7 linked regions of the Callithrix jacchus genome follow. The protein of the gene in region 4 purifies or fractionates together with the protein of the main gene of each other region. This does not show direct contact. Links are inferred from orthologs where the notes say so. Each region holds a gene or a part of one and is shown on either strand. Other genes may lie near its edges. The genes, in order: RPAP2, DKC1, POLR2B, RUVBL2, NOPCHAP1, ACTR6 and EPC2.

Region 1 (3,958 bases), on a different chromosome or scaffold from region 4:
AAGTATTAGACCACAGCTGCACCAGAAAAGCATAATGAAAAAGAAGGCTGGTCACAAAGCTAACTCCATACACAAAGAACAGACAGTAGTAGATGTCACTGAGCAGTTAGGCAATTGCAAATTAGATAGTCAGGAGAAAGCTGCTACAGGTGAACTTCCCTTACAGAAAGTAAATACTGAGAATTCTCCAAATAGTACTTTGCCTGAAAGATTAAAAGCTTCAGAAAATTCTGAAAGTAAATACAGTAGGTCAGAAATAACTCTAGTAGGCATAAGTAAGAAAAGTGTGGAGCATTTTAAGAGAAAATTTGCCAAATCAAACCAAGTGTCTAGGTCAGTATCTGGTTCAGTGCAGGTGTGTCCTGAAGTTGGAAAGAGAAACTTACTTAAAATTTTGAAGGAGACTTTGATTGAGTGGAAGACAGAAGAAACTTTGAGGTTTTTGTATGGCCAGAATTATGCTTCTGTGTGTCTGAAACCCGAAGCCTCTCTGGTTAAAGAAGAACTTGATGAAGATGACATAATCTCAGATCCACATAGTCATTCGCTTGCCTGGAGGGAATCTCAGAACAGCTTGGATGAGTCTTTACCTTTTATGGGCTCAGATACAGCCATTAAACCACTGCCAAGTTACGAGAACTTGAAAAAAGAAACTGAAAAGTTAAATCTGAGGATCAGGGAGTTTTATAGAGGACGGTATGTTTTGGATGAAGAAACCACCAAATCACAAGACTCAGAAGAGGTATGTCTTACAGGCATTGAGTTTTTCCAGGTCATTAACATTTGGAAAACTCACCACAGCAAATCCTGGATAAGGAGGGATATTGAAGAGATAATTGTTAAATTTTCAAATAGTTTCTTTAGTCATTCTGCCTTTTGGTTTACAGTGCCATCTCCATTGTTGGCATTACTATTTTATAGATAATGTGCAATTTTTTTCTAATGTAAAAATATCCTAAAATGGTGGGACAAAGTTTTCCCTAATTCTACAAATAAGAAATGAAGCCTCTGAAGAGGCTTGTTTTTTCTTCTTCGGTATGTATTCTTTCAGATTTATACATGGGTGTGTGTGTGTATGTTTAATGGAAGTATATGCTATGGAATAGACTTGCTAGTTACATTGGAAAATATTTAGCAAGCATGCCCATTTAAAATATTATAGATGAAAATAATTTGTAAAAGAGACTTATTGGGAAAGAATGGACAAAGAGAATGGAAAGCACATTCAGATAGACCTAGATTTGAACATCTGTTTTGTCATTTACTAGCTGTTGAAAAATTAGTTTCTTGCTTTGTTTGCTCATCTGTAAATGGGACTATTAATAGCTTCTCTTGCTCAATTGTTATTCATTTTAAAGATAATGTTTGTAAAGCGTTTATCATAGTACATGACATATAACTGACACTCAATAAATAGTACCCATATGTAGAGATTGAAAATGTGCCACAGAGATTTAGTATTTCTACTACCCATTTTTGACTGATGTGTACTCCCTGGAAAATGAAGTCATTTAACATGAAGTGAAATGGGCAGTAACCTTGTTTTTACCACAAAACTTTATTCTCAAAAATTGCTAAGTAATTATGGCTCTCAATTTAAACGCACATTGGAGATTTGGAAAGAGGGTAGAAGAAGAAATATAGCAAAAGATTTAAAAATGTCTTGTATTTCTATAGAGTGTTGCTTGGCCCAGCACCTTACTTCAAATCGTTTCAAGTATATTATTAGACATCATCCGAAACTTGTATTAAGCTGGGAGAAGCATTGATCATTGTCACTGAGGTGCATAAACCCACCATAGAATATCACTTATTTTATCATTTTGTGCATTTTAGCCTTAAAAGGGAAAAAATAATCCCTGAAATTTTTTTTGTAAATTTATAACATTTTCCAAAAATATTATGTAACACTTTAAAACATTTTCACTGAGGTATAACACAAATAGTAAGTATATGATTTCTTGAATTTTCACATATGAATATACTGATGTAATCACTACCCAAGCCAAGAAATAGATCATTACAAGTAAACTAGAATCCCCATATATATCCCCTCCTAATCAGTACCTCTTTTCAAAATTAATATTATATTAGCACAGATTAGTTCTGTCAGTTTTTTTGACAGTATATATTCTTGGCGTCCAATTTATTTCATGCAATATTATACCTTCAAGTCATATGTGTTGTTGCATAGAGCTGTAGTTCATTCTCTTATTGCTGCATAGTATTCCATTATATAAATACACCATTTATTTATGCTAATGGACATTTAGACTATTTCGAATTTGGGGCTATTATGAACAATATTCTTATGAACTTTCTTGTATTTATCTCTGCTAATATGCATATGTATTTCTGAAGTATCTAGGACTGGGAATGGTAGGTTATTATATTTGCATGTATGCAGCTATACTAGATAATGCCAAACAGTTTTCCAAAGTGGTTGTACCAGTTTACAGTTCTGCTACTACTATATGGGAGTTTTCTTGACTCCACGTCCTCCCTAGTACTTGATATTGTTAGTTTTAGCCATCCCAGTAATATTGCTTTGTGATTATAATACATTTCTGTGATGACTAATGAATTCAGCACTATTTTATTTGCTTATTGACTACTTGGATAGTCTCTTTTTTGAAGTACCTATTCAAGTCTTTTTTCTATTTATCTGTTGGAATATCTGGGAGGTTTAAAAAATGATTTGTAGGGCTTCTTTATATATTCAGGATTAAAGTCCTTTTTCAGTTATATGTGTTGCAAATATTATCTTCTACTCTAAGACTTGACCTTTCAATCTTTTTAATAGTGTCTTGAGTCCAGTTTATTAATTGTTCCCTTCAGTACTTCTATAGTAAATCTTTACTTAGTCCAGATTATTTTATCTTCTAAAAGCTTTGTGGTTTTTCCCTTCACATTTAGATCTGTAACTCATCTGGGATTGATTTTTGATTATGGCAAGGAGTATGGGTCAGATTTCATGTTTTCCCATATAGATATCCAATTTACCCAGCACCATGTATTAAAAAGATTCTCTTATCCCTGTTCTGTAGTGTGGCCCTTGTCATAAATCATATTTTTATAAATGTGTGGGTTAATTTGTCTATGTATCTATCTCTGGGCTAATACCATGCTGCCTAATTATAGTAGCTATATATAGTCACATACTGCATAACAACATTTCAGTCAACAATGGTCCATATATACAATGATGATCCCATAAGACTGTTATAATACATTTTTACTATTGCCTTTTCTGTGTTTAGATACAAATAATTGCCATTGTGTTACAGTTGCCTACAGTATTCAATACAGCAACATACCACCCAAGTTTGTACTTAACAGCAATGGGCTATACCATATAGCCTAGGTGTGTAGTACCATCTCAGTTTGTGTAAGTACACTCTATATTTGCACAATGACAAAATCGCCTAACAACACATTTCTTAGAATGCATCCTTGTTGCTAAGTGACACATGACTATAAAATTTTAATATCTAGTAGAATAGCTATGTTTAAAGTCTGCTCAATAACATTTCATAGTTCTCTGTGTAGAGGTCTTAAACATATTTCATTGCATTTATTCCTAGGTATTTGGGTTTTTATATGCTTTAGAAAGTGATGTCATTTAAAAAATTTTTTTCTAACTGATATTTATGTAGAAAATCAATTAATTTTTGTCTGCATTAACCTTGTAGCCAGTAACCTTGCTAAACTTACCTAGATTATGAATTATAATAATTTACAATAATTAAATTATCAATTCTAATAATTTATAGATTCATTTGGATATTTTACATATGTGGCCATGTCTTATGTGAATAACAGTTTTGGTTTTTTACATTCCAATTGTTATTCCCACTATTTCTTTTCCTTGTCTTGTTCCACTGCTTTGGACCTTCAGGACAATGGGCTTCATTGTCTCATTCCCTATCTGAGAAGAAAAGCTTTAAATCCCACTAAG
Region 2 (4,562 bases), on a different chromosome or scaffold from region 4:
ACGGAGTAAGTACAAAAACTGAGAACTAATTGTTTACAAACTTAGCAATCTAATATTGTGGTGGTGACATATGTTGTATTCTACAACAGTGTTGAGTGTATTGCAATTTGTTTTAAACTTGGTTCTTCATTTCAGATACCTTAAGGAACCCTGCTTTAAACACTATCAGTTGTTTAACACTTGGAAATAACATAAAAGCAGACATTCACCTGATGCCTGATCTTAACCACATACCTTTAGCAAAAGGGGCCACTGAGACGTGTCCAACTTAGCAACTTTGGATTCAGGTTTGATAAGAAATTCTTCAACGTGTTGTATTTCCTTCCACAGAAGAGAAATATAACCTATTAGACTTCCCACCCGATTTTGAATAATTCCATTGCTACCACGGAAATGTGTGCCTTTTAAATAGAAAGTAAGGCTTTCTATGCCTTTTCAGTGGGACCTCCAGGGGAAAGAGAAGAAATGAACCAGGAGTACAGAGGGGAAGTGAAATGCCACTAAGATGGGTCCAAAAATTTAAAGAGAAAGGGGGATAGTGGGTCTGTGGGTGGGATAAGGAAGAGAAATTCAGAGACAGCAGTTGGGAAGCCCAGCACCATTTAGTAAGCTATGCCTGAAGGAGACTTGGACTGTCTGGGGCTGTCATATCAGTACTTTTTCAAATCTACACAATGACCACCAATCCTGGCCCATTCTTGGAAACCTTTAAAACACTTCTTTCCTTTAGTTTGTTATTTAAGTAAACCTTCTTTTTAGTCAAAGTGAAGTCAAACACATTACTACTCACGGCTACATCTTCTTCTGGCAATGACTTCCGCTCCTTTTTCTTCTTATGTTTCTTTGGTAAAATAATCACTAAAAAAAAAAACAAACACAGGATTTGAGAATTTTCCCCAAGAATAAATGAGCATGAGTTTAAAATAAAAACCAAAATTAGGGGTAGGAAATGGATCTTAGGTCTACAATTACAGTCACATGCCACATAATGTTTTGTTCAAGGACAGACTGCAAATGTGACGGTGGCCTCCATAAGATTATAACAGAGCTGAAAAATTCCTGTCTCCTAGTGATGTCTTAATGATCCTGACCTGTGTACGTCAAGGCTACTGTGTGTGTTTGTGTCTTATTTAACAAAAAAAAAAAATGTAAAAACAAAAAAAAAGTAGAAGAGTTATAAATAAGGATATAAACAGAGAAAATAATTATGTACAACTGAATAATGTGTTTAAGCTAGGTGTTATTACAAGGGTTGAAGGAAATAGTTTATAAAGTTACAGTAAGCTAAGGCTGATTTATTCTGAAGAAAAATATATTTTTATAGAGGAGGGACAGCGGGGGGTGGGGAGTTGGGGAGAGATAGCATGGGGAGAAATGCCAGATATAGGTGAAGGGGAGGAAGGAAGCAAATCACACTACCACGTGTGTACCTATGCAACAATCTTGCATGTTCTTCACATGTACCCCAAAACCTAAAATGCAATAAAAAAAAAGAAAAATATATTTTTATAAATTTAGTGTAGCCTAAGTGTACAGACTTTATAAAGTCTCCAGTAGTGTAATGTCTGAGGCCTTCACATTCAGTCACTGACTCAACCAAAGCAACTTCCAGCCCAGCAAGCTCCATTTATGGCAAGTGCTCTCCTCTACGGGTGCACCACTTTTAACCTTGTGTACTATATATGCATACACATTTGAGATGCAGTTTCACTCTTGTTGCCCAGGCTGGAGTGCAGTGGTACAATCTTGGCTCACTGTAACCTGTCTCCCAGGTTCCAACGACTCTCCTGCCTCAGCCTCCCCAAGTAGCAGGGATTACAGGCATACGCCACCATGCCCAACTAACGTTTGTATTTTTAGTAGAGACAGGGTTTCACAATGCTGGCCAGGCTGGTGTCGAACTCCTGACCTCAGGTGATCGGCCTGCCTAGGGCTCCCAAAGTACTGGGATTACAGGCATGAGCCACCATGCCCAGCCCTGTACTATATTTTTACTGTCCTTTTTCCGCTTAGACATGTTTAAATACACATCGTCTCGACACTGTGCTCCAACTGCCTATAACATTCCCCACAGTACCATGCCGTGCAGGTTTGGAGCCTAGAGCAATAGGCTCACCATATACAGCCAGGTGTGTAGTGGCCTATGCCATCTCGGTTTGTGTAAGAGCACTCCGACGTTCCCACAACGATGAAATTGCCTAACGACCCATTTCTCAGAAAGTATATCCGTAGGTCAGCGAGAAAACAAAGTGTGTAAGGCCAAATATATGGGTCGCATGGCTGGGTAACTGCCTTCCGGTTCACCACGTGGCTATGGCAGGGCTTAAACATCCCACAGAAGCGCTCACGCAGGGGACCCGACAGTTCCATAAGCGACCACTCGACTCTCCCCGCCAGCTTGTGGCCTCTAGAAGTTTCTTGCAACTCGGAGCTATGTCTGCTCACGGGTCCCCCGGCTCCTTTTCTTCTCGGCCCGTTTCCACCACCCTTGCTCCCATCGTCGCATGGAGCTATACTGGCGGCGTCCGGGCTAGCAGCAGCACAAACGCTGCCACGTCCCCCGCCACCACGGGGTGGGCAGCACGACAGATGTCTTACGACGAAAACCCGGACCCCAGGGAGGCTTGTCATCGGTGAGAGGCCCGAGCCCCGCCATACCAAGTCACCGCGAGGGACTCCCACTCCCGCCGTCGCCATCGAGCCAGGGCCGAGCGACAAGGCCGGTCGGCTAAGAGGCCGACGCGCCGGCGGGAATCAGAGGGAGGTGGGCGCGGGCCCGTATACCATCCCCCATTCCCGGCTCCCCGAGTCGCCTGGAGTTAGCATAGTCCGGACGCCTGCAGCCCTTACCTTCCGCATCCGCCATGTTACCCTGCACCGCGTGCGTACCGCCTGGTCCACGGCCCGCAGAACTACCGCAGACTCCCGCCGCCACAGTCCAGTGAGGCCGCGCTGCTAGGCCTGCCCCTCCGCGCACAACCCTGTGCGTGCCTCGCCGCGGAGCGGGAGGGGGCGGGGCCTTTCCCGGGGCGACCCGAGGCGCTCGGGCGCGCGGATCTTCCGCGCAATGCGATTGGCTGGCTCAGCCAGGGTCGCGCCACCGCGCCTGCGCCTCGAGCCTCTACCAGCCCGATTAGCCCCGGCTGGAAGCGCTAGTGCCGCCCTCCCCGGCAGCCCGGAGTCTGTGGGCGTGTCCCCAGCTGTCGTTGGTTTACCTCCGGGTTTACCTCCGCGCCTGCGCCTGGGCTCACGGCTGAGCGCTGCGTAGTCGGTAGCTCTTTGCTTTCTGACACTGACTCTCTCAGCTTGGTGTCGGATTAGTCCTGATTCAAAAGTGAACATGTTGAGGCTCGGAGAGATTGAAAGCCTTTTGCTGCTTGCAGTTCCCATCCAGCTAGAGCGGATGGCCACTAGGAGCAGAGCATGAGCCACATGTTGACTTTTTCTAGCAGCTACATGGAAGAAGAGTGAAAAGAAAAGGGTGAAATTGATTTTAATAATGAATTTTTTTAACCCAGCGTATCCGAAATATTATCATTTCCGCATATAGGCAAAACACAACTGCATGAATGGGATATTTTGCTTTTTTTTTTTTTTTTTTTGGTCCCCACAAGGTCTTTCCGGTGTGTGTGTGTTTACTGTCACAGCACACCTCAATTGGAACTCTACGACCAGGCTTCACGCCAAACAGCAGAGACAAAGCACTGGCACTAAATCTCATAGAAACAGGATGAGCCTGGGTATCATGATAGGCAGCAAGGCTGGAAGCTGGAACCAAACTGATTTCTCCCCAGGGATCTTTGGTGCTGTCTAATTGATCGTGGTGTCCTATAGTAAGCCATCATGATCTGTATAACCCCTGTAACGCTAGATCTGGCTAAAGGCATCCTGTCTTGAATCACCACAATGGAAAATCATGGTGCCTCATCTAATTCCCAGATCTAGACAGTCCACAGGCCAGAGCCTGTGAGGTAAGCCTGTAAAAGTGAGGCCAGGCACATGTGTGTAGTTTAAGCCTGCCTCCTACTTTACCCTGGGACCCATGGACATTTACCAGAGACTTGCACAAGCTCGTGTTAATCCCTGGGGAAGTAGAATGCCACTGTCAGAAGTGGAGTCAGCCCATGTCCCTTTCACTCTCAGCCACCCTGTGGCTCTCTCCCCACTTCTTGAATCCATACTTAGAATAAACACAATTGGTGGCTGGAAAAATTCCCACAGGGGCTTCCTGACTCAAGGACTGAGGGTGATAAATGAAGGAAAGATCAAAGGAAGCCTCTGCACATTATCATAATTGAGTCCCTGGGAACTGATTTGATCATCTCACTGTACCCCCAGACATCATGTTGATGCATAGGAAGTGGCAAATGTCTCACCACAAGGTGAGAGATAAGCCCCTTGAAAATTCAGGGAGGTGACACCTCAGTGAACTTTCTGGGCATCCAGTGGGCTGAGACATGTTGAGATGGTCCCTCCAAAGAGAAAGACAGGTTGCCTTACCTGGAACCCTCTGCTTGCTAAAAAAGAAGCACAATACTCAGTGGGCCATTTTCTGGAGATGG
Region 3 (4,629 bases), on a different chromosome or scaffold from region 4:
GAGGCCATGGAGCGCGGCCGTGGGAACGGATCCACGCAGGAAAGGGCTCAAGAGCCTGAACGTTAGGCGCGCAGGCAGCATGAGGAAGTAGCTCCAGGCGAAGGGGCGGAGCCACAAGCTCGCGCGCTCACTAGGCCCCGAGGCGCGCGAGACCCGAGACTAAAGCGCGTGGGTACTTGGGAGGTGTCTTGGTTCTTCTCCTGTCTAATCCCGTGTGTTCTCGCGATTAAAGCGCTGAGACTGAGAACCTAGTTAAAGCTGCCGCAAAGGCACCGGAGGGTTAAGCTAGGTGGGCGGAAGAGATCTGCGTGTGCTTTGGGTTTTTCACTTTCTTTTTTTTTTGAGACGGAGTTTCGCTGTTGTTACCCAGACTGGAGTGCAATGGCACGATCTCGGCTCACCGCAACGTCTGCCGTCTGGGTTCAAGCAATTCTATTGCCTCAGCCTCCCGAGTAGCTGGGACTACAGGTGCGCACCACCATGCCCAGCTAATTTTTGTATTTTTAGTAGAGACAGGGTTTCACCTTGTTGACCAGGATGGTCTCGATCTCTTGACCTCGTGATCCACCCGCCTCGGCCTCCCAAAGTGCAGGGATTATAGGCGTGAGCCACCGCGCCCGGCCGGTTTTTCACTTTCCACCATCTTTAACGCCTCACTGCTATCACAAGCAGCCCTTAATAAATCACATTTAAAAACGAGCTTCCGGCCGGGCGCGTGGCTCACGTCTGTCAGCACTTGGAGAGGCCGAGGCGGGTGGATCACCTCAGGTCAGCAGTTCGAGACCAGCCCGGCCAACATGGTGAAAGCCCCGTCTCTACTAAAAATACAAAAATTAGCTGGGCATGGTGGCGCGCGCCTGTAATCCCAGCTACCTGGGAGGCAGAGACAGGAGAATCGCTTGAACCTGGGAGGCAGAAGTTGCAGTGAGCGAAGATCACTCCACTGCACTCCAGTCTGGGCAACAGAACGAGACTCCGTTTCAAAAATTAAATAAATAAAAATAAAACATAGCTTCGTGTTGTTTTGGTCCTTAAAAAGGCAAATAAATTTAACATCCCAATGTCGCGGATTCACAGAACGAACACTTTTTATTAATAACTATACTTGGTTTTGTTTTCAGCTGTCGTTATTTGTGCAACAACATTAAAAAACAAGCAGAAATAAAACATTCACGGGACGGATCCGACCGCAGATTGCGAGAGCTGTCTTTTCAATCAGCCACCAACAGCGGCGGCACACAATTTGCGCGTAGGCAACTCTAATGCCCGCCCCAGCGCGCCCTACACTTTGCGCAGGCGCAGATCCTAACTTTGGCGTCCTTGTGGGCGGCCTTCGTGTGAGACGCATAGTATTCTGGGAACGCTGGAGACGGAAGTTAATTCGTCTATAGCTCCAGACGCTGGTGGCTTCTGTGCGCTCTTTTGTCTTTTCGGTTTCTAGAGTTAGGAACTCGGGAATCTTTTGGCAGTATGTACGACGCGGATGAGGGTAGGTGAACACTCAAAACACACGCCATGGCGGTCCATTTAAGCAGGGAAGCGTGGGGAAGTGGTCGGATGGAGGATTTGGGGCCTTCCCACGCGCCGGCCGCGTGGTCCCCAGCCTTGTTACCATACTTTCCACGCCGGGAACGAAACTAGGCTAGGGAGGGGCAGAGGGTGCAGGGAACATAGCATTAATGTTGCTGATTAGGTTCACTGCTGCTCTCTGCCCTTTCTCGTTCCGTTAGATCTAATCCCCGCCTCCTGTATTGTAGTAGCGTGCAGAACCGTAAGATAAATTCCGTTGTTTTGAATTTGTCTGAAGCAAAGGGCACCCTTTAAAAATTATCCTAAAAGCCACAGTCGATTTACTGAATAGCTCAATTGATGTCAGCATGTGCAAGGCAATGCGGAAGGCCCTGGAAATACACCGGGACAGACTATCGGAGGAGGGGGGTGGGGGGCGAAACGGTTTAGTCTCACATTTCTTCATGCTTTTTGTAAGTGAAATTGTCTTAAAGGATGGCCTTTAACCTTCTTCTCACAATGCCACAGTTCTCAGATGATATATATTCTGTTGCACCGGACCAGTGTATAGCTTTTTCTTTGCGCATATAGATTTCTTAGTAGTGGCTGAGTGCAATGGCTCACCCCAGCACTTTGGGAGGCCGAGGCGCGCCGATTGCTTGAGACCAGCCTGACCAACATGGGGGAAATCCCATATCTACTAAAAATAGAAAAATTAGCTGAGTGTGGTGGCCTGCGCCTGGATTCCCGTCTACTCAGGAGGCTGAGACCGGAGGATCACTTGAACCCAGGAGGCGGAGGTTGCAGTGACCCGAGATTGCACCACTGCACTCCAGCCTGAGTGACACCCATCTCAAAAAAAAAAAAAAATTCTTAGTCGAGTCTAGTGTATTTTCGTAGCTGCCTTTTCCATAGCTGCCTTTTCCATTCTCCGTATCTACTAATTCAAACCTTATTTTCTTCTAGCTCTTAATTCTGTGGCTACCCCTTACATCTCTATTTCCTCAGCTACTTCTGATAAATTAGATGGAAAAAATTGAAGCAAAAGCTTAAACTTTTTTTTTCTTTTGAGACTCAGTCTAGCTCTAGGCTGGAGTGCAGTGGCACGATCTTGGCTCTTTGCAACCTCCGCCTCCTGGGTTCAAGCGATTCTCCTGCCTCAGCCTCCCGAGTAGCTGGGATTACAGGTCCCCACCACCACACCCAGTTTATTTTTGTACTTTTAGTAGAAGAGAGGGGTTTCACTCTGTTGGCCAGGCTGGTCTCGAACTCCTGATCTTGTGATCTGCCCACCTCAGCCTCCCAAAGTGCTGGGATTACAAGTGTGCGCTACCTCGCCTCTTTTTTTTTTTTTTTTTTTTTAAAAGAGATGGGGTCTAGCCATGTTGCCCAGGCTGGTCTCAAATTCCTGAGATCAAGCCATCCGCCTGACTTGACCTCCCAAAATGCAGGGATTACAGGCATGAGCCACTGTCCCTGCCCAAAAGCTTAAACTTTTAAAGCTGTTTAAACTTCTTTCTCATTAATATCTTGTGTTCCAGAAATGTATTAGCATCATCATATTCCCTGTTAACTACTCTCTCAGTAGAAGAAAAATAGAAAAAAAGATTTTTTAAAGCATAATTTTTGGCTAGGTAATATATTCTCATAGCTCACAAACCAGAAAATTTAAAAATGTTAAAATACGGTGGCTACTTTAACAACTGAGACCAGCCTGGGCAACACGGGAGACCCCCCTCTCTGTAAAAAATTAGCTAGAGTGTGGTGGTGCTCACCTATAGTCCCAGCTACTTGGGTGGCTGAGGCAGGAGGATCACTTGAGCTTGGGAAGTTGACACTGCTGTAAGTTGAGGACAAAGTGAGACCGTCTCCAAAAAAAAAAAAAAAAAAGTTAAAAGTGTTAGGTCTCCTTCTTATCTACCATCTGCCCAGTTGACCACAGTAGGCAACTAGTGTTATAATAGGTTCTTATCACTCCACAGTTTCTTTTTGTTTTTTGACAGAGTATTGCTCTGTACCCAGGCTTGAGTGCAGTAGTGCAATCTTGGCTTACTAACCATTGCCTCCCTGGTTCAATCAGTTCTCCTGTCTCAGCCTCCCAGGTAGCTGGAATTACAGGCGTGCACCACCATGCCCAGCTAATTTTTGTACATTTAGTAGAGATGGGGTTTCTCCTTGTTGGCTAGGCTGATCTCAAACTCCTGACCTCAGTGATTCACCTGCCTCGGCCTCCCAAAGTGCTGGGATTACAGGTCTGAGGCGTTGGCGCACAGCCTCTACAGTTTCTTTATGCATATTTAAGCAAATATAAATGGGATTGTTTTCTTTTTTTAAGGACAGAAAGTAACGTTTACACTTTACTCCACTTTTAGATTTTGCTTAATGGAGATGTTCTTGTCAGTACACAGAGAGCATCACTTGCTGCCGCCCCTGCCTCCGCCCCCAGCTAAATAGTTTGTGTGGATGTAACTTTAGTGTCTTGATGGATATTTGATTTGATTTATTTCTAGTCTTTTTCCGTTAAAACAGTACTGAGAGTGAATAATCTTGTACATATAATTTGCCCAAATATGTCTTTAGGATACATTCCTACATATAAAATTGTCAGGTCAGATGATACGCACCTTTAAGATTTTGCTAAATGGTGGCAAGTGACCACCACAGTGGTGACTGTTCTAATTTTGTATTCTTATTGGTCATGTATAATGATCCTGTGGGAAAACAAGAGTTAATCAGAGTTGCTTTAGCAGTGAAGCTACATTTTATTTGTGCCCATGTCATCTAAAATGTTTATTAGGTATGTCCTCATCAGTTTTTAGCGACTCCTTTTCAGCTGGCTTCTTTCTATGTGAAAGTGTTGGATTTCTGTCATCCACATGGAAACAAGTTAAACTTTTTTTTTTTTTTTTTTTGAGACAGAGTTTTGCTCTTGTTGCCCAGGCTGGAGTGTAATGGCGTGATCTCGGCACGGTGTGATCTCAACTCACCGCAACCTCCACCTCCGGGGTTCAAGCCATTACTCCTGCTTCAGACTCCCGAGGAGCTGGGATTACAGGCATGTGCCATCACACCCAGCTAAATTAAAAAAATTTTTTTTAATAGAGATGGGATTTCTTCATG
Region 4 (3,958 bases):
AGGCAGGAGGATGACTTGAACCCGGGAGGCGGAGGTAGCAGTGAGCAAAGATCATGCCACTGCACTCCAGCCTGGGCAACAGAGCGAAACTGTCTCAAAAAAACAAAACAAAAACGTCAGGCACCATGGGCCACCTTAGGAGGCCGAGGCAGGCAGATCACAAGGTCAAGAGATCAAGACCATCCTGACAAACATGGTGAAACTCCGTCTCTACTAAAAATACAAAAATTAGCCAAGCGTGGTGGTGTGTGCCTGTAGTCCCAGCTGCTCGGGAGGCTGAGGCAGGTGAATCACTTGAACCTGGGAGGCGGAGGTTGCGGTGAGCCAAGATTGCACCACTGCACTTCCAGCCTGGTGAAAAAGCAAGACTCTGTCTCTAAGTAAATAAATAAATAAATACGATGAGGAAAAGACAAAGGATGGAGGGATGCAGGGAGGGAAGGCACTGTGTGTGCCGCATTCTGGGCCTAGACGTGCTGCACCCCGTGTCTGCCCTGGAGCCTCCTGGGCATCCCACTAGGATTAGCTCAGGTATCCGCTTTTCTGGAAGCCTCTCCCGACAAATGCCACCACATGTTCTGTTTTCCTGCCGAGGTCGGGAGCCTCCTCTGTCCTGTGCTACCTCCATTGTAACACATGTCACCTTGGAAGGGATCGTGTCCATGACCGCCTCCTCCAGACCAGGAGCTCTTTGAATTCAGGCCTTGGTCTAACTCATCTGTGGGTACCTGGTGTCCAGTCCGAGGCCCGGCGCCCCAGGGCGCCCCAGAAGACACTGCTTTACCCTCACTGAACACCCACCTGGTTGTTACTCTGATTCTCCCTGCCTGGCCCCAGCCGCAGCACAGAGGTGGGAGTGGGTGGGCAGAGAGGTGGGTTAGGAAAAGCCTCAGTGAGGCAGAGATGCTGAAGTCGTCGGTCTGGAAGGACGAATAGCTGTTCAACACGGAAGATGAGGAAGAGCTGGGAGTGAAAAGACCATAAGCCACTAGCGGACTGCAACAGGCTGCTGGGTGGCTACTCCACGCCCGCCTTCCCCTGCTTCCTTAGTTCCAGAACCCTCATTTTCTTTGTTTTTTTATTTTTTTTGGAGACAGAGTCTTGCTCTGTTGCCCAGGCTGGAATGCAGTGGTGTGATCTCGGCTCACTGCAACCTTCACCTCCTGGATTCAAGCGATTCTCCCTGCCTCCGCCTCCCAAATAGCTGGGATTATAGGCATCTGCCACCACACCAGGCTAATTTTTGTATTTTCAGTAGAGACAGGGTTTTGCCATGTTAGCCAGGCTGGTCTCAGGTGATCCACCTGCCTCAGCCTCCCCAAGTGCTGGGATCAGAGGCATGAGCCACCACACCCGGCCTAATTTTTAAATTTTTACAACTGCCTCTTGTCCAACAGAAGAATCCTCATTTTCTTTAGGCAAAAATGGTTCAAATTATGAAATCAACAAGAAATGTAATGTCCCAGCCTCCCTTGAAGCAGAGCGTGACCATGAGATTAGTTCCAGTCAATGAGAGACAAGCAGACGCATGGAAGACCTCCAAGGTGACTGGTTAAAGGAAGCCGTCGAGGGGGTTTACCCTCATGACAACTTTCTTCCTGCTGCCTGGATCGTGGTGGGAAGGCTGGAGCCTAGGCAGCCCTCTTGGAACACAACATCCTCTTGACACTGGAACCAAGTGCAGAGGATGATGAGGCAGGAAGATGGAAGACTTCCTGGGACTGCTTAGTAAGCTCCAAATGGCCTCCCTCTATATTCTTCCATGGAAGAGAATGAAGCCTGAGTGTTTAAGCCACTGCTATTTTGGGTCATCTGTTAAATGCGGGTGATCCTGACCCTGACTTACACAGGAGGGGTTATCGAGCAGAGGCCACGGGAGTTCCGGCCCTGGGAGGTTTCTTACCCATGGCGATGGCTGTCTTCCCTGTGCCCGGCTGGCCAGCAATAAGAACTGCCCGCCCGGCAATCTTCCCTTCCCGGATCATCTCCAGCACCACACCTGCTGCCCGCCGTGCCGCCAGCTGACCCACCATGCCCTGGGAAGCCTGTGGGTGGGACACAGCACATGAGGTGACTTCCTGCTGGGCTACACATCATTTCTACCACATCTTGGCTAAAGAGATGGAAGCAGTCATTACTAGCTGGGACTTCCAGGAAAAGCCAAAACAGCTTTCTCCGCTTTTTTTTTTTCTGAGACAGGGTCTCACTCTGTCATCCAGGCTGAAGTACAGTGGTACGATCATACAGTCACGGCTCACTGCAGCCTCAACCTCTAGGGATCAAAAGATCCTCTGACTTTAGTTCAGCCTCCTGAGTAGCTGGGACCACAAGTGTGTGCCACAATGTCCAGCTATTTTAAAAATATTTTATAGAGACAGGGTCTCACTATTTTGCCCAGGCTGGCCTCAAACTCCTAGGCTCAAGTGATCTTCCCGCCTCAGCCTCCCAAAGTGCTGGGATTACAAGCGTGACCACTGCATGAAGCCTGATTTTTTTTTAAGGTGGCAAAACCATGGCTGCCCAATCCCAACTCTTTTTTTTTTCCTTTGTGATGGAGTCTCACTCTGTCACCCAGGCTGGAGTGCAGTGGCATGATCTCAGCTCACTACAGCCTCCACCTCCTGGGTTCAAGTGATCCTCCTGCCTCAGCCTCCCGAGTAGCTGGGATTACAGGCATGCACCACCACATCTGGCTAATTTTTGTATTTTTAGTAAAGATGGGGTTTCTCCACGTTGGCCAGGCTGGTCTCGAACTCTGACCCCAGGTGATCAGCCTGCCTCAGCCTCCCAAAGTGCTGGGATTACAGGCATGAGCCACTGTGCCCAGCCTACCCAATTCTTTAGTACCAAGAAAACCCACATGTGGCTGAAGTTTATGGATACGCAGGCAAAGGTCTGGAAGACCGTAACATAGTCCCCACACTCCCCAGGGCCCTGGTGCCCACTACCCAAGACCTTCGTGGAGAGGCCCTCACACCCCAGACCTTCGTGGAGAGGCCCTCACACCCAAGACCTTCGTGGAGAGGCCCTCACACCCCAGACCTTCGTGGAGAGGCCCTCACACCCCAGACCTTCGTGGAGAGGCCCTCACACCCCAGACCTTCGTGGAGAGGCCCTCACACCCCAGACCTTCGTGGAGAGGCCCTCACACCCCAGACCTTCGTGGAGAGGCCCTCACACCCCAGACCTTCGTGGAGAGGCCCTCACACCCCAGACCTTCGTGGAGAGGCCCTCACACCCCAGACCTTCGTGGAGAGGCCCTCACACCCCAGACCTTCGTGGAGAGGCCCTCACACCCCAGACCTTCGTGGAGAGGCCCTCACACCCCAGACCTTCGTGGAGAGGCCCTCACACCCCAGCCTCCTCTGCTCTACCTGCCGAGGCTCCAAGGCATCGTCCAGCCCCAGCCCCCGGATGTGGGAGTGAGCACCTGTATGCAGGGAGAGAACAGAGACTCAGTTAGTCAGCTTGCTGCACGTGTGGCCTGACACCTCTGAGTCCTGGTTTCCTTTTTGGTCAAAGGGGTGGGTGGGAGTAGGGAGCAGGGGCTTGGGGAAATGAAGGGGCACAGGGAAGGATTTCCCAAATGGCCACCTCACTAAGAAGATGGCTGAATGTGCTAAATGCTCAGTGAACTGGAGTTGCTCTGAGGATGCATCCTAGTTAAACCAAAGTCACTGAGACCTGATTAATCACATAAGAGTACCAAGAACTAACCACAAGGGCTAATGATCACAAGTACTCTGTGTTTATGGCTCACACAGCACACACAGGTTCTCATTTCACTCCATATCACCCTGTAGGACAAGAGCCCTGTCCGAGGCCGGGCGTGGTGGCTCAGGCCTGTAATCCCATTCCAGCACTTTGGGAGCTGAGGCAGGTGGATCAACGGAGGCCAGGAGTTCCAGACCAGCCTGGCCAACATGGTAAAATCCCATCTTAAGTAAAAATACAAAAA
Region 5 (3,958 bases), on a different chromosome or scaffold from region 4:
ACCTCGTGATCCACCCACCTCGGCCTCCCAAAGTGCTGGGATTACAGGCGTGAGCCACCGTGTAATTCACTCTTAATGTTAAAAAAAAAAAAAGACAAGAATTCAATGAAAACTTATGTAAATAAGCGTGAAGGTGTCACATCAATAAACTAAGAAATCATGAGTACTCTGAAAGGGGAATTTAACCTTAGCATTATTTCTGTAGCAGTAAATCCATAATAGCTAAAATGACCTCATGGTGGCTGTCCATCCAAAAATCAGTTTTTGTGGATATAGGTTTTTGTTTTGAGGGGTTACATACTTAGGAGTGGGATTGCAGGTATATGGAAGGTGTAAAATTCTTTTTTATGAAGAAGAAATTGCCATTTTGCATTTCCGCCAGCAAGGTATGAGAGTTTATATGCTACACATCCTAATCAAAATGTGGTATGGTCTTTTTAATTTTAGCTATTCTAGTGCAGATATAGTGGTATCACGTTGTAATCTTAATTTGTTTCTAATGATTAATAATGTTGAGCATCTTTTCATGTGTCACTATTTGTGCATCTTTTTGAAGTGCCTGTTCAAATCTTGAATGCATTTAAAAAAATCAGGTTCTTATGGTAAACATCATTCGTAATAGTGCGGCTCTGCCAACAATAGACTTACCAGCCTTTGTGTTTCTGAGGAAGTCTTTATTTTGTTTTCAGTTTTTGGAAGATGCTATAATGGATTTAGAATTCTAGGTTGACAGTGTGGTGTTTTGCTTTTTCTTTTTTTTCTAGTACTTTAAAGATGTCTTTTCAGTGGCATTGTTTCTGATGCCAGTGTCTACTGTCATTTTGTGTCATGAATATGGTGTTTCCTTTTTCCTCTGGCTGCCTCTAAGATTCTCTTCATCACTGGCTTTTACCAATTTTATGGTGAGGTGCCCTTTGTAGTTTTCTTTGTGCGTCTTGAGCTTGGGTTTGTTGAACATACTGGATCTATGAGTTTATAATCTTTATCAAATTTGGGGAACTTTTTAGAGATTATGTTGTTGTTGCTCCCGTCGTGCCTGCTTTGCCTCTCCCAAAGGGACTCCAATTACACCTAATTTTGCCAGTTAAAGTTGCCCCACAGCTCGTTGATTGGGTATTGCATGTTATGTGTTTCAATTTGGATAGATTCTATTGCTGATTTTCTTGAGTTCACTGTTCTTCTATATTGTCTAATCTGTTAATTCCATCAAATATGTTTTTTCAAGATAGATACAGTTTCCATCTCTAGAAGTTTGAGATGTTTACATCTTCTGTTTCTTTCCTTGGGTTTGTGCTTTGCTTTTCTTCCTTAAACATATAGAGCATATTTGTAAGAGCAGTTTTAACATTCTTATTGCTGATTCTGTCTGTATCATTTCTGAATCTATTTCTATTTTTTTCCCCTACTCTTTATGTATTTGGTTTTCCTATCTATTTGCATGTTTGGTAATTTTTTATTAGATGCTGGACATTTTGAATCTTATGGTTTGTATGATGGATTTTATTTAATTTAGAAGAACTACAACTGGACTAGCCTCAGGGTTCAGCATATACTCTCCAAGAGTACCATGGAAATATTTGGCTTCTGAGAATCACGGTTCAGGCCACACATTTTGGTTCTTGTTTTGCTCTACTTGATTCATTAGTTGGAAACAAAACAGAACCAGATTTTCTATCTCTAGCAATAGATTTAAATCTGAGGACAGAGAAATAACTTTATTTTTATCAGTAATTTCTCTGTCTCTCTGAAGGGGAATAAGAGCTACCCTTCACTATTGTGTAGGGCTTTGTTTGTGAACATGCTCTTGGGGAGTCCTTCCAGCACCTTATTTTACAAATAAAGGTCATCTACTTGACCTTGACCACCACTTTATTTCTTCTTCCATACTCTGGACATTTTAGTCATCTATTATGTAGCCATAGCACTGACATAAGTTTTGAGAGCCTGTTATATGCATGGTTATGTGCTGGGCCTCTTTCGAGAGAGAAAAATAAATAAATATCCTTAGTTCATTGATTGCTCTGTACTTGGCACAATGGCTGACAATTATCACTCCTCTTTTATAGATTAGGTTTCAAGTGGTAAAATTAAATAATTAAATGTATTAATTAGGACTCTTGGTTGCAAATGACTAAAATCCAGCTCAGATAGCCTTAAGCAAAAAAAAAAAAAAAAAGAAATTATGTTGGCTGTTTTTATTGGGGAAAAAAACTCCAGGGGTGGTGATTTCAGGTACATCTGGATCTAGGTGCTCAAAGTCCTCAGGGATCAGCCACTCTGTCTCTTATTTCTGCTTTCCTAGTGTTGACCTAATCTAGGGCATGCTCTTATCTCAGGTGTGGCAAGTTGCCAGTTTATCAGGAGCTTCAGCCTTATATTCAGCAACTCAGTCAGTCATTCAGCAAGATTTCTCTCTCAACAGATCAACAAAAGGCCCTGAGTTAACTTATTGGCCCGACTAGAGCGTTGTGTCACTGGTATGCCACTAAAGCACATTACAGTGACTAAGGATATGGAGGATGTAGGCATGTATGGGGTGAGGGACAAGAGTGACTAAAAGTGACACAAGCTTAAAAGGAAAGCCGGGGTTATATGATCAGAAGAAAGGGAACAGATGTTGGGTAGGCAGAAATAACCACTACTTAATTAGCAGGCCCAAGGTAATTCAGATAGAGGTAGAACTAGGATTCTATATATAACCTAGTCAGTCTTACTCTAAAACCTCAGAACCTGGTACTCTTAACTGTTAAGCCACACTGCCTCCCTATTTAGTTACTGTTTGTTGAATGCCAGCCTTCTAAGAGTTTACGGTCCTGGGGATATATGAGAAACATAAAAACATTTGAAAACAATTTTTTGCTGAATTGTATTGTCCTACTGCTTTATTCAGAAGAGGATGAAGGGTTTTTCAAAGAAGGGAATTAAAAGATATATAATTATGGTTGTTATTATTAGTACTCAATTCAGAAGTGTTTATAGGAAATCCTGAGTTTCAGAATTTACTGGCATAAATGTTGATATACTGTATTTACTTTCCACAGTGTTGGATCAGGTACAGACCTTTCTCCCACAGATGGCACAGGCAAATGAAAAGCTAAGAAAAGAAATGGCAGCTGCACCACCTGGTCGTTTCAACATTGAAAACATTGATGGGACTCATGGCAAAGTTATACAAATGGTAACTGCTTTGTTTTCATATGGTGAAATTACTAGTTCACCTTGCTACCTGAGAAGAAGAGAGAACTTTTCCATTTTATTTTCAAGTGTCATTTTCCTGGTGTTAGCTCATGTTTCGAATGTTGTATAGGTACATAGTCATTTTATGATTTAGTCATATGTCATAGGAGGGTTTTTTTTTTCCCCAAGTCAAATATTACATTTGTTATTCTGAAGCATTAATTTGCTAAATGTCCTAACTGGATTTTTTTCTGTCCAAGCTCCAAAAGAGGTAGTTATAGTCTGATTTATTCAGTATATAAAAATAAATGATGTGTGGAAGAGAGCAATTGATTACATAGGCTCTGTGTAAAAATGTTCTCTCGTTTATACTCATCTCTTGTTTCTGCACTGGAATTCTCTTTATAATATCTCTGCCTGGACAGAGCTGAGACAGTTGTGAATAATATGTAATTCATTAGTCAGTCTGGTCAGCTCTACCTCCAGAATATATCCCAACTCCAGTCACTTTGTACAACCGCCACTGTTCATATGGACCTTTGTTGGTCCAGGTAATTATGGTCTCTCCTTTGGACTATTGCAGCAATTTCCTAGCAGGATTTCCTGCTTTCACTGTTTCTTCCCCAGAGTCTGTTCTTCACACAGTTTGGGACCTGGGGGCTTCCCATCACGTTTCAAATAAACGAAGTCCTTCAAAGGGCCCATATGATTCTGCCTGTACTTCTCTGTCTCAGAGATCCCTAAACCCCAGGCGATGGGCTGGTACTGGTCTGCGGCCTGT
Region 6 (3,958 bases), on a different chromosome or scaffold from region 4:
TTTATTTGCAGAGATTTCTAGATCCCATAATACACTTAAATAATTATTGATTTGGCCGGGCACAGTGGCTCACGCCTATAATCCCAGCACTTTGGGAGGCCGAGGCGGGTGGATCACGAGGTCAAGAGATTGAGACCATCCTGGTCAACAAGGTGAAACCCCGTCTCTACTAAAGATACAAAAATTAGCTGGGCATGGTGGTGTGCGCCTGTAGTCCCAGCTACTCAGGAGGCTAAGGCAGGAGAATTGCTTGAACCCAGAAGGCGGAGGTTGCGGTGAGCCGAGATCGTGCCATTGCACTCCAGTCTGGGTAACAACAGTGAAACTCCGTCTCAAAAAAAAAAAAAATTATTGATTCATCTTTGATTATAAGTTTTTTTTCTTTTATCTTTTCTTGTGATTATAAATTTGACAGAGGAAAAATCATTATGGTCCATTTAAACTTGAAGAAACATATCTCTCCATGAGTATTAAATTGCCATATCCATTTTAGAAAAGTTTTAATTTAATCCAGATCTGTATAGAATAGAAATTTATAATTTAACAGTTTAATGGTTTTCAGCTATTGATGGATTGACTTATAATTTCTGTTATATTTAGACTAACATACAGGATTAATATTAAAGAGATTGGAATATGATGCTTCATAGTGATTTCATGCCTTAAGTAAATAATGTTCTAGAGTTTTAGAGTACTTTAGTATCTCCCTAGTTCACAAGAAGTAGGCATTGGAGAAAATCTAGCACAGGCCATGTGCTTTCCTCTCATTGAAAAAAAAGAAAGAAAGAAAAACATACTGCTATCCTTACATAATTATTTCACAGCTGTTTTGATATTTCACATTTTATATAAAGTTGCAGTCATGATGTTACAACATTTTGTACTACACTGCTTTAATGTCATGGTAGAGTGAGACTTAAAGTCACTATAAGGAAACTCTGCCCTTGTTTTGGTGAACAGAAACATTAGGTGGGATGGCTGGTACCTGTTAATTCCTGATGGATTTCCCAGTGATGTTTTGTTGGCTTTTGATACTTAACATTTGCTATTATGTAACTTTAATGAGTGTTCATGCTTAGATCCCTTGTTTAAACAAAGATTATGAATGTGGCTGGGTGCGGTGGCTCAAGCCTGTAATCCCAGCACTTTGGGAGGCCGAGGCGGGTGGATCATAAGGTCAAGATATCGAGACCATCCTGGTCAACATGGTGAAACCCCGTCTCTACTAAAGATACAAAAAATTAGCTGGGCATGGTGGCGCGTGCCTGTAATCCCAGCTACTCAGGAGGCTGAGGCAGGAGAATTGCCTGAACCCAGGAGGCGGAGTTTGCGTTGAGCCAAGATCGTGCCATCGCACTCCAGCCTGGGTAACAAGAGCGAAACTCTGTCTCAAAAAAAAAAAAAGATTATGAATGTTTTTAACTATCAAAGGTAAGTATTGCATAACATACGTTTGCCTCAGTGAGATAATATGGAGATTGGGACTTGTAAGTTCAAATGTCATGAAACACCTTGGTTTCATCCTTATGGTAGCTTACAGTCTCAGCCCATAGCAAGACCCCTCCCCCCCATTTTAGAGAAGAATGATTATAATTATCAACTCTTTGTTACTATAGTAACACTTATATATGGCTTACATGAGTGTACAATAAGTAGCCAGTAGTTCACCCTCCTCACCTTAACTTTTAAAGATCTGTGAAGTCATATTTCACTGTTTAATGTCTTCACTTGTATAAACTGTAACCTCATTACAAATCTTAGAGTCGACCTGAAAATGTATTTGGTTTCCCAGCAGTAACTATAATCCTTAATTGCTTATCTGATCCCTCATCCACATCGTTTCAAAAAAGTAAACAGATTTTCTAACGCCTTTTTTCATTTCTTTCTTCATTTCTTCTTTTAAAGAAATGCAGCCACATTTTTTTAAGAACATTGTCTTGACAGGAGGAAACTCCCTTTTCCCAGGATTTAGGGATCGGGTTTACTCAGAAGTTCGATGTCTTACTCCAACAGACTATGATGTTTCTGTTGTGCTGCCTGAAAAGTAAGTGTTGTTTTATATAGAAACAAACATGGAAGTCAGCGTGTAGAAAAGGCAGTATGTTGACTTGAGTTTAAAGCCTGGCTCTCCCATGGTGGCTGGTTTATTTCACCTGCTGAATATTCATTTTTCTTCTTTCAAAAATTAAAATGATAAACCTTACATTTCACTAAATTAAATGGGATAGAAGTATGTACAGTGCCAGTCATTATGTATTGTACACAATGGGACCATCCTGGTCGGCATGGTGAAACCCCGTCTCCACTAAAAGTAAAAAAACTAGCTGGGCATGGTGGCGCGTGCCTGTAGTCCCAGCTACTCGGGAGGCTGAGGCAGGAGAATTGCCTGAACCCAGGAGGCGGAGGTTGCGGTGAGCCGAGATCGCGCCATTGCACTCCAGCCTGGGTAACAAGAGCGAAACTCCGTCTCAAAAAAATAAAAAAATAAACATATGGGGTGATTACTCCCATGTAGTAAGTCAGCCTTGATCCTAAGAGGTTTTTATAGGCAAAGCAATCAAGTTATTGTCTATGTGATTTATCTGAGATGTATTATTTCTTGACAGTTCTGTCAAGAATAGAAATTTAATAATCGAACCATTGTGATACATTTTATCAATTCATAAGTTGTTTCAGAATTTTAAAAAATTTAAATATTTTAAATGACTTTTACTAATGAGTTTTTTAAAATTCAGAATTGTTTTACATCTAACCCATACCCTGTTATGAGAAAAAGTGCATCTCATCACTTCCACTTTAGTGGTTAAAATAAACTAAGGTAGGGCCAGACACAATGGTTCTCACCTTTAATCTCAGCACTTTGGGAGACTGAGGCAGGCAGATCACTTGAGCTTAGGAATTTGAGACTAGCCTGGGCAACATGGCGAAACCTTGTCTCTACCGAAGAATTAGCCAGATGTGCTGGTGTGCACCATTAGTCCCAGCTACTCAGGAGGCTGAGGTAGGAGGATCATTTGAGCCCAGGAGGTAGAGGTTGGAGTGAGCTAGATTGTACGACTGTATGCCAGCCTAGGTGACAGAGCGAGACCCTGTCTCAAAAAACAAAACCCCCAAAAAAAACAAAAAAATGAAAGTAGAGTTTTATAGCTCTAAGGAAGGTTTATAGCTCATCCTATTCAATATTCTTATTTTATAAATATAGAAACAGGAGCTCATGAGTTGGCAAATGCTTTATGGTGAGTTAATAGCAATGATCAGATTAAAACCCAGTTTTCTTACCTTCAGTGAGGACTTCTTACTAAAATACATGTCAAAAAAACCCACCCCTAGTGTTAGTGGCAGAGTTGCAAACAAGACCCCACATATCTGACTCTTAATTCTACAGTTTTGTTTTAAAGCTAAAGTAGAATTTTCCAAAATTAGTAGAATTTAATAGAAGGCTCTCATTGATATCACTTTATTTTACAGCTGTGAGATAAATGAATAAACAATTTTAAACTATTGGATGATTTTTATCACCATTAATGTTTTTATGTTCTCAAGAGTAGAAAGCATATTGGATCCTTATCTTGCATGCATCGATTACAGGCCAAGGGATCCACAGAAATAGGTCTTATTAATTTATTAAATAAATGTTTATTGTATATCTACTGCTTTTTTATATGTATACTTATATATAAATCCATTTTTATAAAAGCATAATGCAAATGTAATAAATACAATAAAGAAACATTTATTGGCCAGGTTTGGTGGACCACGCCTGTAATCCGACCACTTTGGGTGGCCAAGGTAGAGAGATCGCTTGAGTCCAGGAGTTTGAGGTTACAGTGAGTTAGGATTGCACCACTGCGCTCCAGCCTAGGCAATAGCATGTGACCCTATCTCAAAAAAAAAAAAAGAAAGAAAGAAAAGAAATCTTATTTTTTTCTGTAGAGGCAGAGTCTCACCATGTTACCTA
Region 7 (3,958 bases), on a different chromosome or scaffold from region 4:
TTATGATGAAAAATAATTATGTATTTAAATTTGCTTTTAATACTATTACTTCTTAAAAGTAAGATGTGAGTGATTTTTTGGATTGCTCTATTATGTAATCCAGTATTTAAAAGGTATTTAAATTCAATTCTTATTTAAATCTACTATATTGACAAAATTAACAACTATTTTTATTTTTAAAAATCTTCAATTGGACCATGACTTTATTAAGTTATTTTTACACTTAGTTCCAATTTTTTAAAACGTCTGTTCTATGGATGGCAACCTTTTGAGAAAAACAAGCTTAACTAGGAAAAAAGCCCTCACTTTTTAGAATGTATAATTACTGCAGCAACTGAACAATAACTGTTCTGAAGTTCCCCAGGCTTCTGTGGAGGTTCCTGAGAGGCCATCTGGCAAAGACACTGACTGAAGGGGTAGGTTTCCAGCTCCCACCTCCCCTCAACAGAGCAGCTCTGTTACTGTTTTAACACACTGGCATTCCTTTTAATAAAAAGGGATCCGCCACTTTAAAAGTTGGAAAAGACTGTTCTAAGCACCAAGGTACAAACTACAAAATTTATACATTTCCACATGTAGTCCAGATGTTAACTACTTTAGGGTCAAAAACCGTACACACAATAAAAATATTGCTTGTAAGGCAAATTATAGTGAGATATAAAATTTTTCATACAATGGGTGTAACTATTACATCAAAAAGACAGTCCCAACTTTCAGAAACTTCCCATATTTTAAAGTGGGATATGTCATAAAGTAAACATAGTTATTAAACATGTGTGATGGAGTAGGACAACAATGGATGCAACCAAATCCCTAAAGTTAGTATTTAGGTGGGCTGAATGTTTATTCATAGAGGAGATCTAAAATAAGAATTAATATATAATAAGGGCTGATTCAGTCAGTAATTATGGGTTAAGATTTTCATATTGCAATGCTTAATAATCACATACCCAGGAAAAGCATTGATTGACATAAAATGGATTTTTAAAAATAATTTACAAAATGACATTTGCATTAACTTTTTTGGCTATAGAGGCAAGTGAGATTTAGAGAGAATAATGATGGTGGGCTAGATGCCTGTGATTAATAAGAAAGAACTCTGGTGTTTGAATTGACATGAACTGAATGAAGGAATCTTCCTGCTCCACACTCTTTCTTGACCTTTAAGAATCAACCCAAGAAGAATGAGAACTGTGTACATTTTCAAAAGATGAATTTTCCACAAACACCCTAGGTCATTTAAAAAAATCTTGCTACAGAGTAAGGCTCTATTGTCTAGAGGCTTCAGTCAATACTTGTTTCTTATTTAAATCTACGCTCCTCAAAATTGAAGGCTTTATTAGTTATTCTATTTCCCAATTAAATACTTGAATTAATATACCAAGTGAGGACTGAATAAATATAGTTATCTAGTCCAAGTGACTAAAATAACCACTGAGTCTGGCTCTTTTATTAAGAATAAACTGTGACCCAGAAATTAAAGGACTTTCTCAAAGTCACTCAAGGTAGGTAACAATTGATAAATGCTGGCTCTGGAAATGACAACAAGAACGGTTTTCAATAGTCTCAATGAATAAAGCTTTAATTTGAGGTGCTGATTCCTTCCATTACAATGTAAGGTTTGCTAAGCTTAGTGATAATAACTAGACTTTAATTACCCTTATTCTCTAGGGAGGCAGATAGCATACTGAAAGTGATGAACTGTTAGACCTGAACTGAAACCTTGAATCTGCCACTTACTAGCCATATCTAGAAGTCACAAAGACACAACTACCTCTAAGGGTTGTTATGAGGATTAATGGATCAGAATGTGTACAAATACTCCTAGCAAAGTACTGGGCAAATGTTAAGAACTAAATTCATGTTAACTGCTTTTTCCTTACTCAAACCATATTAAGACAACTGCAGAAATCAATAATTATCTGATCAACATTACCATACATGCTTCTTCCCAGACAATATTCACCTTAGTTTTACATTCTTGAGCTTTGTGATGATTTCCATTATGAAGAGTTGCTGGAGTGGCATATAACTCTTTCTCTGATCTACTGATTTTCACTTCATTAAGAATTTCACCCCCATAGTCTCCCAAATGATATCTTGAAAAAAAATAACAAAATATAAGAAAACATTGCATAGTTTAATAATAAAGAAGGAAAATAAATGATACCTCCATTAGTTGGAAGGCACCTAGTCAAAAAGAGCTAACAATCAAATTATTTTTAAAAGACAAAATTTACAGGAATAAACAACCAGAGATTTAGTAAAAACAAAACAAACCAAAAAACTAAAAAAAAAAAATCTAAGGTACACAGAAAATAAATTTCTTACATACATTATATAATCAGTCACTGAGAAATGTTTGGAATGCTTACTTCAGGAATCACACAAAATTCTGTTTTAGTTTAGTTATTTTTAATTTTGTAGGAAAATACATTAGAGAACACATTTCTAAAAGGAATAAAAAAGTCTATCTACTCAGAAAATAAAATCAATACTCATTTCCCTTAGATTTTATTTAATAGAAACTATAATACAGAGAGGTAAACAAAATGATCACCAGAGTTCTTTTCTAAATAAAATTCAGTGATTCTGCAAAACAAAATTAAGAATAGGATCTATAGTATATAAAAACTCTCCCAAAGTCTGCAATCTAAATTGAATAACTTAATCTATAAAAAGAAAAAAACAACCTAGTAACCACAAATCTTTAAAAAATATAAATTCTTACAGAATCAATATCAACTGTCATAAAGTTTAACCTGCCCCCCGCCCAAAAATCTTCTGGTTCATTTTGTCCATCACTTGGTAAAGCTGCCACTTTATTGCTGTAACAGGAGCAATGTTACCTTTTCTCCACAACTTCTAAGGTTAAGTGCAATAATTCTCGTTTTGTTTTCTCTCTTCTCTTAATCATTTCCAAAATTGTTATGGCTCTACTAAATTCTCGTCTCAGTTTCAACATCTTTTCATAAGAGGCTTCATCATTCTTACGATTCTATTAAAAATAATGATAATTTTAGAAGTTATCTACATTTCTGGCTTTATTCAACAAACTCTTATCAGACCTGAATTTATTCTATAAAAGTAAAATGTTAAAAAAAATCTGAACAGCACCTGTATAAGAGAATCTGTATCTATTTTAATTCTGAAAATACAAGTATAAACAAGTATCTCTCAATAAATACTCAGAAAAAAAAAATGCTTCCAGCTGTTGAAAAGGTGGAATGGCATAAAGAGATAATTTCAATGTCAACAAATTTTTAAAATGTCCACCTGAAACAAAACCTGGTATTGGAAAATGTAGTACATTCATTTAGAGGAAGGTATTTTTCCAATAACAGAGAGGAACAGTTTTGTCCAGATCAAGGTAACAGTTAAAATGAGTCCCCATCCATTCATCCATCCATCCAGCTCTGTAATTGGGGGCTGGATGGTTTGATACGCTGTACTATAATGTGAACATGAACAATGACCAGTAAAGCTTCACTTCAGAAACTCAGAAAACTGAGAGTAGCATAACAAGCATTTCAAGACATCAAATTATCATTTTTCAATGTAATGTAACACCCCATTGCTGAGTAGAAAAGAGATTTAGTAAAAATACTGAATTTCAGAACACTGTTTATTAGCTTTTCAACTAATTATACAAAGTGAAAGCCCTGCTACATAACTAGAAAAGGCTCAGTCATAATTAACAGCATCTATTTGCATAAAAATTATTACTAATACAAACTATTTGGTGATATCAAACATCCACAGATTCCTTACTTTAGTATTAGACATGAAACTTTTTGTTTAAAAATAGACCTCTACTACCCTTCCAATCTATGCATCCAGAGTGAATTGTACACTTAAGCAATCATTCATTCCTTGAGTTAATAATTCAAAATGACATTAGAAAGAACCTAAAGAATACCAGTGGTTTCATATGGGAGGATTATAAAAGAGAAAATAA

Evidence for each region.
Region 1: the proteins of RUVBL2 (region 4) and RPAP2 purify together in Homo sapiens (affinity purification with mass spectrometry; 3 studies listed by BioGRID and IntAct, with this or other methods). This does not show direct contact. The link is inferred for Callithrix jacchus from reciprocal best matches to the Homo sapiens genes RUVBL2 and RPAP2.
Region 2: the proteins of RUVBL2 (region 4) and DKC1 purify together in Homo sapiens (affinity purification with mass spectrometry; 5 studies listed by BioGRID and IntAct, counting the BioPlex papers as one, with this or other methods). This does not show direct contact. The link is inferred for Callithrix jacchus from reciprocal best matches to the Homo sapiens genes RUVBL2 and DKC1.
Region 3: the proteins of RUVBL2 (region 4) and POLR2B purify together in Homo sapiens (affinity purification with mass spectrometry; 3 studies listed by BioGRID and IntAct, with this or other methods). This does not show direct contact. The link is inferred for Callithrix jacchus from reciprocal best matches to the Homo sapiens genes RUVBL2 and POLR2B.
Region 5: the proteins of RUVBL2 (region 4) and NOPCHAP1 purify together in Homo sapiens (affinity purification with mass spectrometry; 4 studies listed by BioGRID and IntAct, with this or other methods). This does not show direct contact. The link is inferred for Callithrix jacchus from reciprocal best matches to the Homo sapiens genes RUVBL2 and NOPCHAP1.
Region 6: the proteins of RUVBL2 (region 4) and ACTR6 purify together in Homo sapiens (co-immunoprecipitation; 7 studies listed by BioGRID and IntAct, counting the BioPlex papers as one, with this or other methods). This does not show direct contact. The link is inferred for Callithrix jacchus from reciprocal best matches to the Homo sapiens genes RUVBL2 and ACTR6.
Region 7: the proteins of RUVBL2 (region 4) and EPC2 purify together in Homo sapiens (co-immunoprecipitation; 4 studies listed by BioGRID and IntAct, counting the BioPlex papers as one, with this or other methods). This does not show direct contact. The link is inferred for Callithrix jacchus from reciprocal best matches to the Homo sapiens genes RUVBL2 and EPC2.

Annotation. Positions count from the first base shown.
Region 1 is NC_133508.1:130,052,823-130,056,780, forward strand, and holds part of RPAP2 (putative RNA polymerase II subunit B1 CTD phosphatase RPAP2), read left to right. Parts: coding exon 1-742; intron 743-3,958.
Region 2 is NC_133524.1:150,505,971-150,510,532, reverse strand, and holds the start of DKC1 (H/ACA ribonucleoprotein complex subunit DKC1), read right to left. Parts: upstream 2,998-4,562; 5' UTR 2,867-2,997; coding exon 2,851-2,866; intron 859-2,850; coding exon 791-858; intron 322-790; coding exon 235-321; intron 1-234.
Region 3 is NC_133504.1:139,815,639-139,820,267, reverse strand, and holds the start of POLR2B (DNA-directed RNA polymerase II subunit RPB2), read left to right. Parts: upstream 1-1,371; 5' UTR 1,372-1,470; coding exon 1,471-1,489; intron 1,490-4,629. Other genes in the region: NOA1 (nitric oxide-associated protein 1), read right to left, coding at 1-81. UniProt on the Homo sapiens protein: Catalytic core component of RNA polymerase II (Pol II), a DNA-dependent RNA polymerase which synthesizes mRNA precursors and many functional non-coding RNAs using the four ribonucleoside triphosphates as substrates.
Region 4 is NC_133523.1:42,858,081-42,862,038, reverse strand, and holds part of RUVBL2 (ruvB-like 2), read right to left. Parts: intron 3,431-3,958; coding exon 3,375-3,430; intron 2,046-3,374; coding exon 1,904-2,045; intron 1-1,903. UniProt on the Homo sapiens protein: Possesses single-stranded DNA-stimulated ATPase and ATP-dependent DNA helicase (5' to 3') activity; hexamerization is thought to be critical for ATP hydrolysis and adjacent subunits in the ring-like structure contribute to the ATPase activity.
Region 5 is NC_133510.1:107,923,206-107,927,163, forward strand, and holds part of NOPCHAP1 (NOP protein chaperone 1), read left to right. Parts: intron 1-3,041; coding exon 3,042-3,178; intron 3,179-3,958. UniProt on the Homo sapiens protein: Client-loading PAQosome/R2TP complex cofactor that selects NOP58 to promote box C/D small nucleolar ribonucleoprotein (snoRNP) assembly. Acts as a bridge between NOP58 and the R2TP complex via RUVBL1:RUVBL2.
Region 6 is NC_133510.1:103,342,974-103,346,931, forward strand, and holds part of ACTR6 (actin-related protein 6), read left to right. Parts: intron 1-1,905; coding exon 1,906-2,044; intron 2,045-3,958. UniProt on the Homo sapiens protein: Required for formation and/or maintenance of proper nucleolar structure and function. Plays a dual role in the regulation of ribosomal DNA (rDNA) transcription.
Region 7 is NC_133507.1:81,638,601-81,642,558, forward strand, and holds part of EPC2 (enhancer of polycomb homolog 2), read right to left. Parts: intron 2,999-3,958; coding exon 2,850-2,998; intron 2,100-2,849; coding exon 1,967-2,099; intron 1-1,966. UniProt on the Homo sapiens protein: May play a role in transcription or DNA repair.